Oryzias latipes: one gene and its partners. The protein of the gene in region 2 binds, or shares a complex with, the protein of the main gene of each other region. Links are inferred from orthologs where the notes say so. Each region holds a gene or a part of one and is shown on either strand. Other genes may lie near its edges.

What was found. The genes of interacting proteins can lie anywhere in the genome.
Region 1: the proteins of polr1b (region 2) and polr2k are in contact, whole or in part, in a cryo-EM structure (PDB 7OBA), measured with the Homo sapiens proteins. The link is inferred for Oryzias latipes from reciprocal best matches to the Homo sapiens genes POLR1B and POLR2K. Residues at the interface, in NP_061887.2 of Homo sapiens: Val87, Ile92, Cys93, Lys94, Glu95, Val98, Ala101, Glu102, Gly105, Arg106, His159, His160, Gln704, Asp705, Val793, Phe794, Gln805, Asp808, Asp809, Asp810, Leu812, Pro813, Phe814, Ile815, Gly816, Ala817, Lys818, Leu831, Val848, Asn851; in NP_005025.1 of Homo sapiens: Met15, Tyr17, Gly20, Glu21, Ser30, Arg31, Asp32, Pro33, Ile34, Arg35, Cys39, Gly40, Tyr41, Arg42, Ile43, Met44, Tyr45, Lys46, Lys47, Arg48, Arg51, Val53, Val54, Phe55.
Region 3: polr1b (region 2) and taf1a share a complex: the UniProt entries of both Homo sapiens proteins name them as parts of the pol I pre-initiation complex. The link is inferred for Oryzias latipes from reciprocal best matches to the Homo sapiens genes POLR1B and TAF1A.

What each region holds. Positions count from the first base shown.
Region 1 is NC_019869.2:7,013,840-7,017,595, reverse strand, and holds the start of polr2k (DNA-directed RNA polymerases I, II, and III subunit RPABC4), read right to left. Parts: upstream 2,434-3,756; 5' UTR 2,320-2,433; intron 1,255-2,319; 5' UTR 1,177-1,254; intron 1,094-1,176; exon of another isoform or gene 614-1,093; intron 310-613; exon of another isoform or gene 204-309; intron 1-203. UniProt on the Homo sapiens protein: DNA-dependent RNA polymerase catalyzes the transcription of DNA into RNA using the four ribonucleoside triphosphates as substrates.
Region 2 is NC_019873.2:3,647,064-3,649,619, forward strand, and holds part of polr1b (DNA-directed RNA polymerase I subunit RPA2), read right to left. Parts: intron 2,032-2,556; coding exon 1,857-2,031; intron 1,782-1,856; coding exon 1,500-1,781; intron 1,419-1,499; coding exon 1,285-1,418; intron 1,218-1,284; coding exon 1,047-1,217; intron 947-1,046; coding exon 790-946; intron 697-789; coding exon 500-696; intron 18-499; coding exon 1-17. UniProt on the Homo sapiens protein: Catalytic core component of RNA polymerase I (Pol I), a DNA-dependent RNA polymerase which synthesizes ribosomal RNA precursors using the four ribonucleoside triphosphates as substrates.
Region 3 is NC_019882.2:5,958,069-5,961,824, reverse strand, and holds the start of taf1a (TATA box-binding protein-associated factor RNA polymerase I subunit A), read right to left. Parts: upstream 2,893-3,756; 5' UTR 2,651-2,892; intron 1,039-2,650; 5' UTR 1,011-1,038; coding exon 872-1,010; intron 573-871; coding exon 409-572; intron 337-408; coding exon 223-336; intron 142-222; coding exon 1-141. UniProt on the Homo sapiens protein: Component of the transcription factor SL1/TIF-IB complex, which is involved in the assembly of the PIC (pre-initiation complex) during RNA polymerase I-dependent transcription.

The DNA of each region.
Region 1 (3,756 bases), on a different chromosome or scaffold from region 2:
AGGTGGTGTGTAGAAGCGGGTAGCGCCTACAATGCCACGTACGGCTTTAATTTACATCTATAATTTTGTCTGCTGTGAGTTTTCCTGAAACTTTTGCTATGAACTCTATTAAAAATTGTCATATATTAGCTGGATGGTTCATATTAAGGGCTATTTTTATTAAAACAATGACACAAAGTTAGGTGAAATTGTTTTTTAAAAGAGAAAATGAGGAACGCTTCACGAATTTGCGTGTCATCCTTGCGCAGGGGCCATGCTAATCTTCTCTGTATCGTTCCAATTTTAGTATATGCACTAGAGAACTAGTGCAATGAGCCAATGTCTCGGAGTGCTTTTTAAACCCTCCCCTCTGCTACTCTTCTCAAGCATGAGGTGTGATCTGAGGGAACACAGTGGACTTTAAAGGGAACCACAATTAAGACAAAACACCAAAAAAGATCCTCTGTTTCTCCCATGACACAGGATCGTCTCAGGTTCACCATCTCCATTCAAAGTTTGACTTAAATGCTTAAATCAGATTAAAATTACATTTTTTCTGACTTTGTGAGAGACTTCTTGGAAGGATTCTGGGAAAAGAAGGGGGGTTTTGTCACGTCAGACGAGTGCGACTGGTTTCCCGGAAGCGCCAGAACAAAAGGTCGAGTCAACACCCCTCCAGGAGGACCTTTACCAACCCCCACCGCAGCTCCAACCAACCCCCATGTGCTGATGGTTACACACACAGGGGTGGAGACTCTTTCAGACAAGGATCTGTGTGGAGAAAGAGAAAACTGGTCTGATCGCGTCAGACTGACGTCATTCTGCTGCTGCCTTCAAGCAGGAAGCCAAAGCGACGACTCGCTGCAGAAAGATCAGCTCAGAGACGAGAGTCTGTGCTTCTGCTTCCAGCAACAGGACGAACAGAACTCACATGGACCTAAATTCAATAAGAAGAACCCATCAAAGACCAGGATTATACACTTTCATTGGTGCGGAGACGATCCTGAGTGGCTTGCTTCCCTGTTGAGAGCCTGTCGGCTCCTGGTTGAACTAAATTCTGACCATTTCCTGCTTTTTCTCCAATATGCTGCCTCTGAAATTCTTTAAATACATTGTGAGCATCTGTGAGGTAAAATTCTACTTCAAAAATCCTGTTTCTAAACACAAAGATACAGTCATGTTTAATGCAGAAAATACCTGCTGTAGATCTGCCACATGGTGCCGCTGTTTCACCGCTCCACCTGGAGATTCATTACATGGAAGCGTTGCATTCAACTAAAATAAAGAAACGGTGGATCTTCATTATATTTATTCTGTGGAATTTTGTTCCAGTATTTCAAGAACTATAAAGGCAAATAACTTCATTTGCTCATCAAACATATAAGATGAGCTGCAATTAGAAGTTGAGAATGTGTTCGTGTCACAGACACATCCGGTCACCGGTCTGCTTTGTTTTTTTCATACTAACTTTATCCACAAACATGACGTTGGATATAGTTCTATTGACTAGTGTAAACTTTTTATTTGTGTCTGTGGTGAAGCAGAAAACGAGTCACAGCCTGAGTTTACTTCGATGTGAAGCTACAGAGGCAGACGGGGACCGTCAATAAAGTACACCAAAACACCCCAGACAAACAATAGCAGTTTCTCAGTAAGTCAACATAAATAACCTCTAAAACATTACAAGTACTCACTATTGTTCAAACAAACTCCACATAAATCCATACTATTACTTTATTACTGCTTTTCTTAGAGTGAACCAGCGTGTTGGAGTCACCCAAGTTGTAGACGTGTCCTTATCACCTCGCTTTAGGACAACTGCCGTAGTCCTAAAAAAACAGTGATCAAATGATCAAATAACTGGACCTTTTCTACGCGCTTTCTGGCCGTCCAAATGCAGAGAAATTGACGACAAACACCCACAGTCAGCAATAAATAAGAAGTTTAACGTTATTTACTGGAACGGAATGGAAATTTGGTGAAATTAGCGGGCCAGAAACTACTTTCAAATCCGCCATTTATTTAGATTAGAGCTTTGAACGTTAGCAACAATTAAATTTGTTTTTGTTTTCTACTAATAACACATCATTAAACTGTGTTTTCGACAAGACGAGCAACACATCTATTCCGTTATCTCACGAAAGCAGTAGTTATAATCTCGTAATATCGACTTAAATCACTCCAGAAAGTGAACTAATTGAGCAAACACGGCGGCCGTCGTCTTTCGTTTCCCTAAAAGCTTTGAACAATTTCTTTGATCTTAACCGCCACGCATGAGCTGCTCGTCTTCTCATGATTGTCGCATGTGTGAAGCTCAGAAAGCAGAATTCTGCTCCTCACCGTCGTTTGGACTCAGGTTGTTCGGGAGAAGTAGGACACGGAAGCACAAAAGCCGAACCCAGAGCGGTTCTGATCCGAACCTTTCACGCTGGAGTCCAGTAGGTGACTAGTCCGAGACATTCAGGGAACGTCCGAAAAAGAAAATCTCTCTTGAAAAAGTTTAGGAATTTAAAAAACAATAAAGAAAGCACAAGTAGGATTTTGTTTATCTATAAATGGACCCCCCCCACACACACACACACACTATAAAATCATTACTTAAATAAATAAAACAATAAACTAAGAAATGAGGTTTTTAAAGACAAACACAGTAAAAACATTGATTTCCACCTTTAATGAATGTCTGTGAATCGATCAATCGATGACCTCACGCGTTCATGGTTTTCATCCATTTACAGGTTCTTTCTGTTGAGAGAAGAAGTGAATCCCTTCCAGTTGTTTGTTTCTTTAGAAGAATCAGCAGCAGAGGATCTTTATGCTGCAACCGCGCACAGCGGGCCGCGAACTCGGGAGCTTCTGCACGGCGAGAGGAAGTCTTCCTCCGACGGGCCTGATCAGAGTGTTCCAACTTCTCAATCAATCAAATGGCCAGAATTGTTCCAATTTCTAGTATCAAACTTTGCTGTGTCCAATCAGAGAGCCGGATTCGTTCCAATTCCTTCAAATAACTGCCGGTTTTCCATTATTTTAAGACAAATAAATAGTTTGCATTATTTCAAGTGTCTAAAAGAGATTAATGTATTTGTGAAGAAGTGAACTCACGTTGTTACGTGTGTTTTAGTGAAAAAGGAAAAGGAAAGAACATATTTAATACAAAGTTTGCAGGCGGAGATGATTTTGTTTTTACAGGGAACGTTTATTTGCAATAAAAGTAGAATTGAAAAGAAAATATCAAGAATAAACTTCTTTTGAATCAGAACATTTTTAATAATAGGAATATTGTTTCCACAGAAAACTAAAATGTGTGCAGAGATTTAAATGGAAATGAGATCCAGCAAAGTACCAGGAGTGAAGAAGCTGAGAGGAGATTTCTCCGATGATGCTGTGATGATGAACCTGCTGGTGTTTCTGCGGCAGATCTAACCTCTGTCATTGTTCACCAGCAGAAACCTGGAAAAACACAGAACGACCCACTGACTGACTTTGGATGAAGAAAGAGGAAGACTCCCACCAGCTTTCATGGGAGAAGAAGGTCCAAGGTGAGGCAGGTCGTCAGTCTTGGGAAGGGATGGGAGAGGTGGAGTGGTGGATTCTGGACCCGTGCAGAAGCTCATGAGTTCATGTCTCACTTTGTACACTCAGACTGAAAAGGTTCAAATCATAGAAATGCAGGAGAAATCTAAAAGATTTAGCAAAGTATTTGCATCTCTAAATACTTTGAAATTGGGCTGATTTGGTGGTGAGAGATGATGCATTGAATCATTTGGCACAAAGAGA
Region 2 (2,556 bases):
GATGACTTGTTCACAATCTAGTAAGATCAAAGAACGTCAGAATGTAGAGACCCACTCTGAACATCTATTTTCAAAGCATTCCAGGTGGTCTTCAGACTAGGAGGAAGTCATTTTTAGCCTAAATCTAAAAACCAAAGACCAGCAGGAGTTCATCAGAAATTCACCCTGAAGTTGTGGGCGGGACCGCTGGCATAGAGTGACCCTTCCTCCATTTCCCATCATGCCTTTGTTTACACCATCTCAGGCAAACCAATTCCCGTCACAACCCCTAACTAACATTATCAGAGAAACAAAAATGTCGACCAATATCAGAGCTATCCAGCCGTACAGTTTAGAGCCAGATTCCAGCTCAGACGAGGAAAATAAAGACGTTCATGGATCTATCTGTAAGAGGATGATCAGAATGGAGTAGCATCCCTACTGGGAATGCTTTGAAAATAGCTCAAAAGATGATCAAATCCCATCTGTAGAAATGTAAAAACTATTGTGTTGAATTCACCATAGCATCTTCCATGTCGTAGCCGGTGTAGGATATGACGGCGACGATGGCGTTTGTGCCGCTTGGATAGTTGTCCAGATTGTAGTGATCGTACATGTAGGGCCTGACGAGGGCGCTCTGTGGCGTCTGTAGTCGGTACAGCTTATTGTCCGAGCGATCCATAAACGAGTGTAGAGGGAAGCCCATCGTTTGTTTACCTGAAACAAACAGTTTAGGGTCAACAATTTCAGGACTTTGGACTCCAAATTGGTGTTAGCCTTCAATGAACATTTCTGATCCCACCCACTTACCCATCTGACACTGGTACATGTTTCTAGGACTCTGGTTGTGGTCTGAGAAAGGGATGAAGTTTGCCACCACGCTCAGCATACTGTGAGGGAAGAGCTCCTGGTGTGTGGTAACTCCTGCTTCAATCTCCTCTTCTAAAATTCCAACATTGGTGTAAAGCTACGGCAGAAAAGTAAACCCGTTTTACTTGGACAGCTGTCCTCCGATGACCGTCTCGATGGCAAGAATGTCTTTCAACGTGCACCAGCTAAACATATACCTGCTCAAAGGTGCCAATGAACTCCTGTTTGCCAAGAGCCAGGTTTTGAACGGGCCGCATCATCCGGCAAGGTGTTGTGAAGAGGAACAGACCTGGATACAAGCTGGCTTTTCCAGTTTTAGGAACCAGGACGATCTCAGTCCAGGGAGGAACCTTCCTCTCCCTCAGCACCTGCACACACGTTAGTCATCAGGTTTCTGCTTCCAAGGTCACTACTTGTCTAACATCCTTCTCGTACCTTGAACCTCCGCATTGCATCAACAACAGCTGGAGCCAAGTCGGTCTCCACCCAGCCAACAACAGAGCCATCCAACACCACAGGGTAGCAGTCAGAGAAGGCCTGAGCAGGAGTACCATCCACCGGAGTAACACCTCACACACCGAAAACAGGACCATTTCCATTTTCAGCCGCTGAGGAGCAATGTGCACTTTGTAAAAATGTTTGGAGCTTACCGAGGGAACAGAGCAGTGCAGGCAGCGACGTGGTGGGACTGGATGCTGCCACCACCTCACAGCTGGCAGTCATGTGGTTCATGAGTCCACAAGGCTCTCCGTCTGGAGTGTGGACGGGACACAGGAAGCCCCAGGACTCGGGCAGCAGCTTACGGACTGAGGTGGTCCTCATCTTGGCGAACGCTGCTCCTCTGTGCACACAGCGGAAGTGAGAAAGGTAGCGGATGAAGTTCAGCTTGTCAGCGACAACGCAGAGGCCCGAGTTCTGCAGCATGCCGAGACCTGTGAAAGAAAACATTTAGAACAAAGCAACTATTGAAGTTTAAAAATATATATATAAAGAGTGTGGATATGCACCCGTCTTAGAATTTAGGTTTCCAGTAGCCAAGAGATATTCAAAAGGTTTGGTGACATCAGAGCCCATGTTCAGCATCTTTATGACATTTTCTGTGCTCCATCCCCTTGCAAACACTTTGGATCCTCTTTTGTCAAAGGACAGCTTCACAGACACCAGCCATGCAGTCATTCTCTCCTGCAGTGTTAAAGACGAGGAACATGAAACTAGAACTTTAAGATTTAAAAGTCAAGGTCATAACATTTACAGTACAGCCTTCCCTCATGTATCCCGGGGGGATACGCTCTAAAAATAGAAAAAAAGAGAGACCAGGATTTCAGAATAAAAACAAAGATCTGATCGCGATTAAATATTTATGAAAATTTGGCAAAACTGAACACTTTCTGTCCAGAAGACACAACACAGAGGAGATTCATTGACAAGGTCTGTAGCCAATTAGAGAACTAGACTGAGTGGCCCCTCCCCCTGGCGTTCCAAACAGGAAGTAGCTTCTGACTCCAAGAATCTAAAATGAAAAGCTGTTACTCAGTCATTCTGTTGGTCCAAATAATCCTTCTTTGTCTGTAAAATTTTTTTTAAAACATTTTCTTGACAATCCTATTTTTTTCCCATATTTTTGTTGTAGCGCAACTTTTTCAAGTTATAAACTGACCAATCACATGACTTAATAAGAGTGGGTGGTTCCACATTGAACGGTCGAAG
Region 3 (3,756 bases), on a different chromosome or scaffold from region 2:
GTAGGCCTGAATCAGTTTAGTCATCTGATACTGGGATGTGGTCTCCTTCCCATGCCTCCAGCTTTCAGCTTCAGACAGTTTCTGTTTAGCAGCTTCTATCTGACCATGAAGCATTAAGTGGAATGAATGTTCCAGAGAAATCTAAAAAAAAAGAAGAAGAAAATTGCAGAATTTAGAGGAAAAATTATGTTCAAAAGAGGACAAGGGCTCGTTTTAACACACCTTTAGATAATGTTTAAATCCTGAATGCTTCATCCGTTCATATATGACATTGTAGTCATCCATCGTAGATTTGGGATGATGGTGAAGGATCTCAGTGCTGATTCTCCAAACAAGCTACAAGAAGATATTAAATTTACCTTCTTTTTAAGATACACACATTTGGTGAAGACGCAAAAGCAAACTTGCCTCTTTGTATTGCTGTGCTGTGAGATTAACTCTGTCCTCTAATATTTGTGCATAGCTGGCCATGTACTCTGCTGCCTCCAGCCACCTGTGATGAAGCATGGCTTCTCTGATGTACTCCAGGCACAGTCTGACGCTCTGGTGAAATCCATTTTCGTGCAGAGTCTCTGAAATTATTTAAGTAAAACTTACAAATTAATGAGTTCCAAACAAAAATATCATTTTTTGGCTAATGTAGAATAATTCAGCCAATTAGGGTTTGTTTATTATTGCAATAAAATGTAGATGACATATGTTTTCATGATAAGTATAATCTTTTCAGTGATTTCTGAAGATGTTTACTTAAAAAATACCGTTTTAATGACAATCTGTATGGTGTTATCTGACATATGCTCATAAACCCATATTTTTTTAAAGAGAATTAGAGGGGAAAACGCACTTTTATGGAATATAAAGTGTGTCTTACTTTGACAAATTGGTTGGATCAAATCTAACTTGAATGAGCTTCCTTCTTTTCTAGAGCTGTTGTCACAGGAGTCATCAGCATCATCATCATCATTCTCCATGTCTTCACGAGGGTTCAGTTCTTTCTCCAGGTCGTCCATGTTTGGCTAAAAGTTATGGCTCTTCAACCTACGAGGAGAAAAACAATGAGAGACAGTAAAGCAAAAAGTAGCAAACAGGTCCTTTGACATTACAATTTTTCTGTTTTATGAACATTTTAAAAATCACAAAGATGCTCTTCTAGAACTAAATAACGTGTCACTTATGACCAACTGTCTGCAGATTTTTAGGTGTACAACACAATCATAACTACAGGGGTTGACATAGCCCAGAAATTTGCACTGGCCCACAGGGCCAGTAGTTTTTGAAACTTACTGGCCCTGCCTGAAAGTTACTGGCCCGACACCGCGCATAGCGGGACCCGCCGCTCCGCAGGTGCTTGCAACTTTAGGGGGGTCCGGGGGCATGCCCCCCCGGAAACTTTTAATATGGTGCAATTTGGTGCATTCTGGTGACATCACTTATTTCTACACTTTTCAATGACTGAAAATAGACCATATCAAACTTAAATCTGCTCTAGTCTGTTTCAGATGTTTTGAAGAGAGCACTGCAGTGTAGTAGGTAACACTAGTTCAGAAGTTTTCATGGTGCTTCTAACGGCAAATATCACAATAAATCATAAACCTTAAATGTGTTAAAACAATCTAATGGCAGCTTGAACCATTTAACGAATCAAGTAAATCCCTTAATGCATTTGACCAATCGGATGGACGCCTTCACATTGTTGACCAATCAGATGGAGCCCTGTTATGTTAGATGTTTGTAACCTATGTCAACGTGGGTCATTTGGAGTATAATTTTTAAACTGGGAATGGTTATTTGGTTATTTTTCTGTTTGTTTATATACCGCAAATTATATCGTTATCGCAATTTTAATCTCTGATATCGCATATCGCGAGTTTTCCTCATATTGTGCAGGTCTAACTGAGATCATTCAGCTAACTAGAAATACTTACTGCTTACAGTAAGTATTTCTACTTTAAGTAAAATTAAGTAGTTTAACATTCTACTGCATTTGAGTCTGAGATTCAGGTATTTGGAGTTGCCTTTGATTCTTTGACATTCAGCTTAAAGCTTAGTGCATACAGTTTCATCTTCAATGCATTCATTAAATATCTTGCTGTCCATAGTACTAATTCCACCCATTACTCCATCTAACATATTCCTATCTATTCCTGCCATGTCTTCCACATCTCTGACATGCTTCAGTCTCTCTTCAGTGACGGTGTCGGATTTATAATCAAATGTAATAATAACCCACTGGCTTGTGCCTTCGTTGTTGCTGTTTAACATTGTTTTGTATTGAATTGTTACATTCAATAAAGTTTGAAAAAAAAAGTAGTGAGCGCGTGCCGCGTGGTGCTCCGCAGTGAAAGCCGCGCGCGCGCAGGCGGGAGAGAAGGAGAAGTGATCAAAGGTTTCCCATAGAAACCTTTGAAGTCTGAACACAGGACTAGCAGAAAAACTAAATTATGAAGACGAGGTAAATCTACACGTTTTCGCAAAATTTACTTTATTGAAAAAGGTGAAGAATATATAAACAGTTAGATATTTTAGTGGCCCGAGCGGACAAGTGAAAAGTAAAGTCTTGTGGTCCGCACTGCTCGAAAAACAGGACCGGGCCAGCGGACAAATGGCTATGTCGAGCCCTGAACTAGTAGCTGACATTTGATTTGCTTACCTGGCCAGACTAGCCCCACTGAGGCTCACTGTGTTGAAGTTACCCTACTCGAAAATAAGCGTCAAATTAGGATGAAATTAAGGTCTTATCTTACGGAAATAGGTTTTACCTAAATGGTGTCTAAATAAAAGAGTATGCTTGGCACTAAATTGATATTTCTGATTTAAATAACAAAAAAAAACGTAATTCTTGCTACACATGTGAGATGTTTGTAGCCACCACACTTCCGGTGCAGCTCAGGAAGTAGATTGTGAATCTGTCTTGCTATTGGCTGAATCAACCCAAGGAGGCGGGGCGGAGCAGGGGGTTTCCTCCACGTGACTTTTCACGGTCTCAGAGTTCCTTACTTAATCAATAATAATAAACTACTTACTAAAATATAAGGCAAAGAAAGAGCCAAAATTGTAACTACTGCAAAAAGATTTGCCAAATATTTTTTTTGAAGAAGTAAATGGGCTTCGATCTCTTTTTCCCTCTTCTCTCTTCGGAAATACAGTAGTGTGTACTTGTTGACAGTATTTGTAAATGTATCCACTACTTGTGCTAAGAGCAAAAAATGCATTTTAAATCACAAAGTAAGAAAGCTACAGTGTTAGCAAGATTTATTTATTCTCTCAAAACCTATTTTTTATTTTAGTCAATGTTTTGTTTTACTGAAATTTTTATTATTTTGAAATTGAAGAAACATATACATGTAAGTTTTCTAAAAAAAAATAAATAAAACTAATATTAATAGAACACGTAAAAATTATTTTGAGTTGATATTTTTACAATGTCACGGTATGAAGCTTATTTTTAACCATGTCATTTTTTAAACCTAGTAGTAATTATTTATCTTTACTTTCAATATAAGGAAGTCTTCTACAATGTTTTTCAGTGAGTTATTTTACTATTTCCTCGTAATTGCGTTACTTTTGCTCAGAAAATAATGTTCAGTGGTTTGTTATTGGAGCTAAGTGAGTAATTTGAATGTGGCCACACACACAAACACATTAGAGAATGAGGTCGTGCTTTCCAGTCTTCGTGTTTATTCTGGTGTGGACCTGAGGCTGATTCTCAGGTACCTGAATCCGCCTCATCCATCGATGCGAACCCGTCCGGGCCTC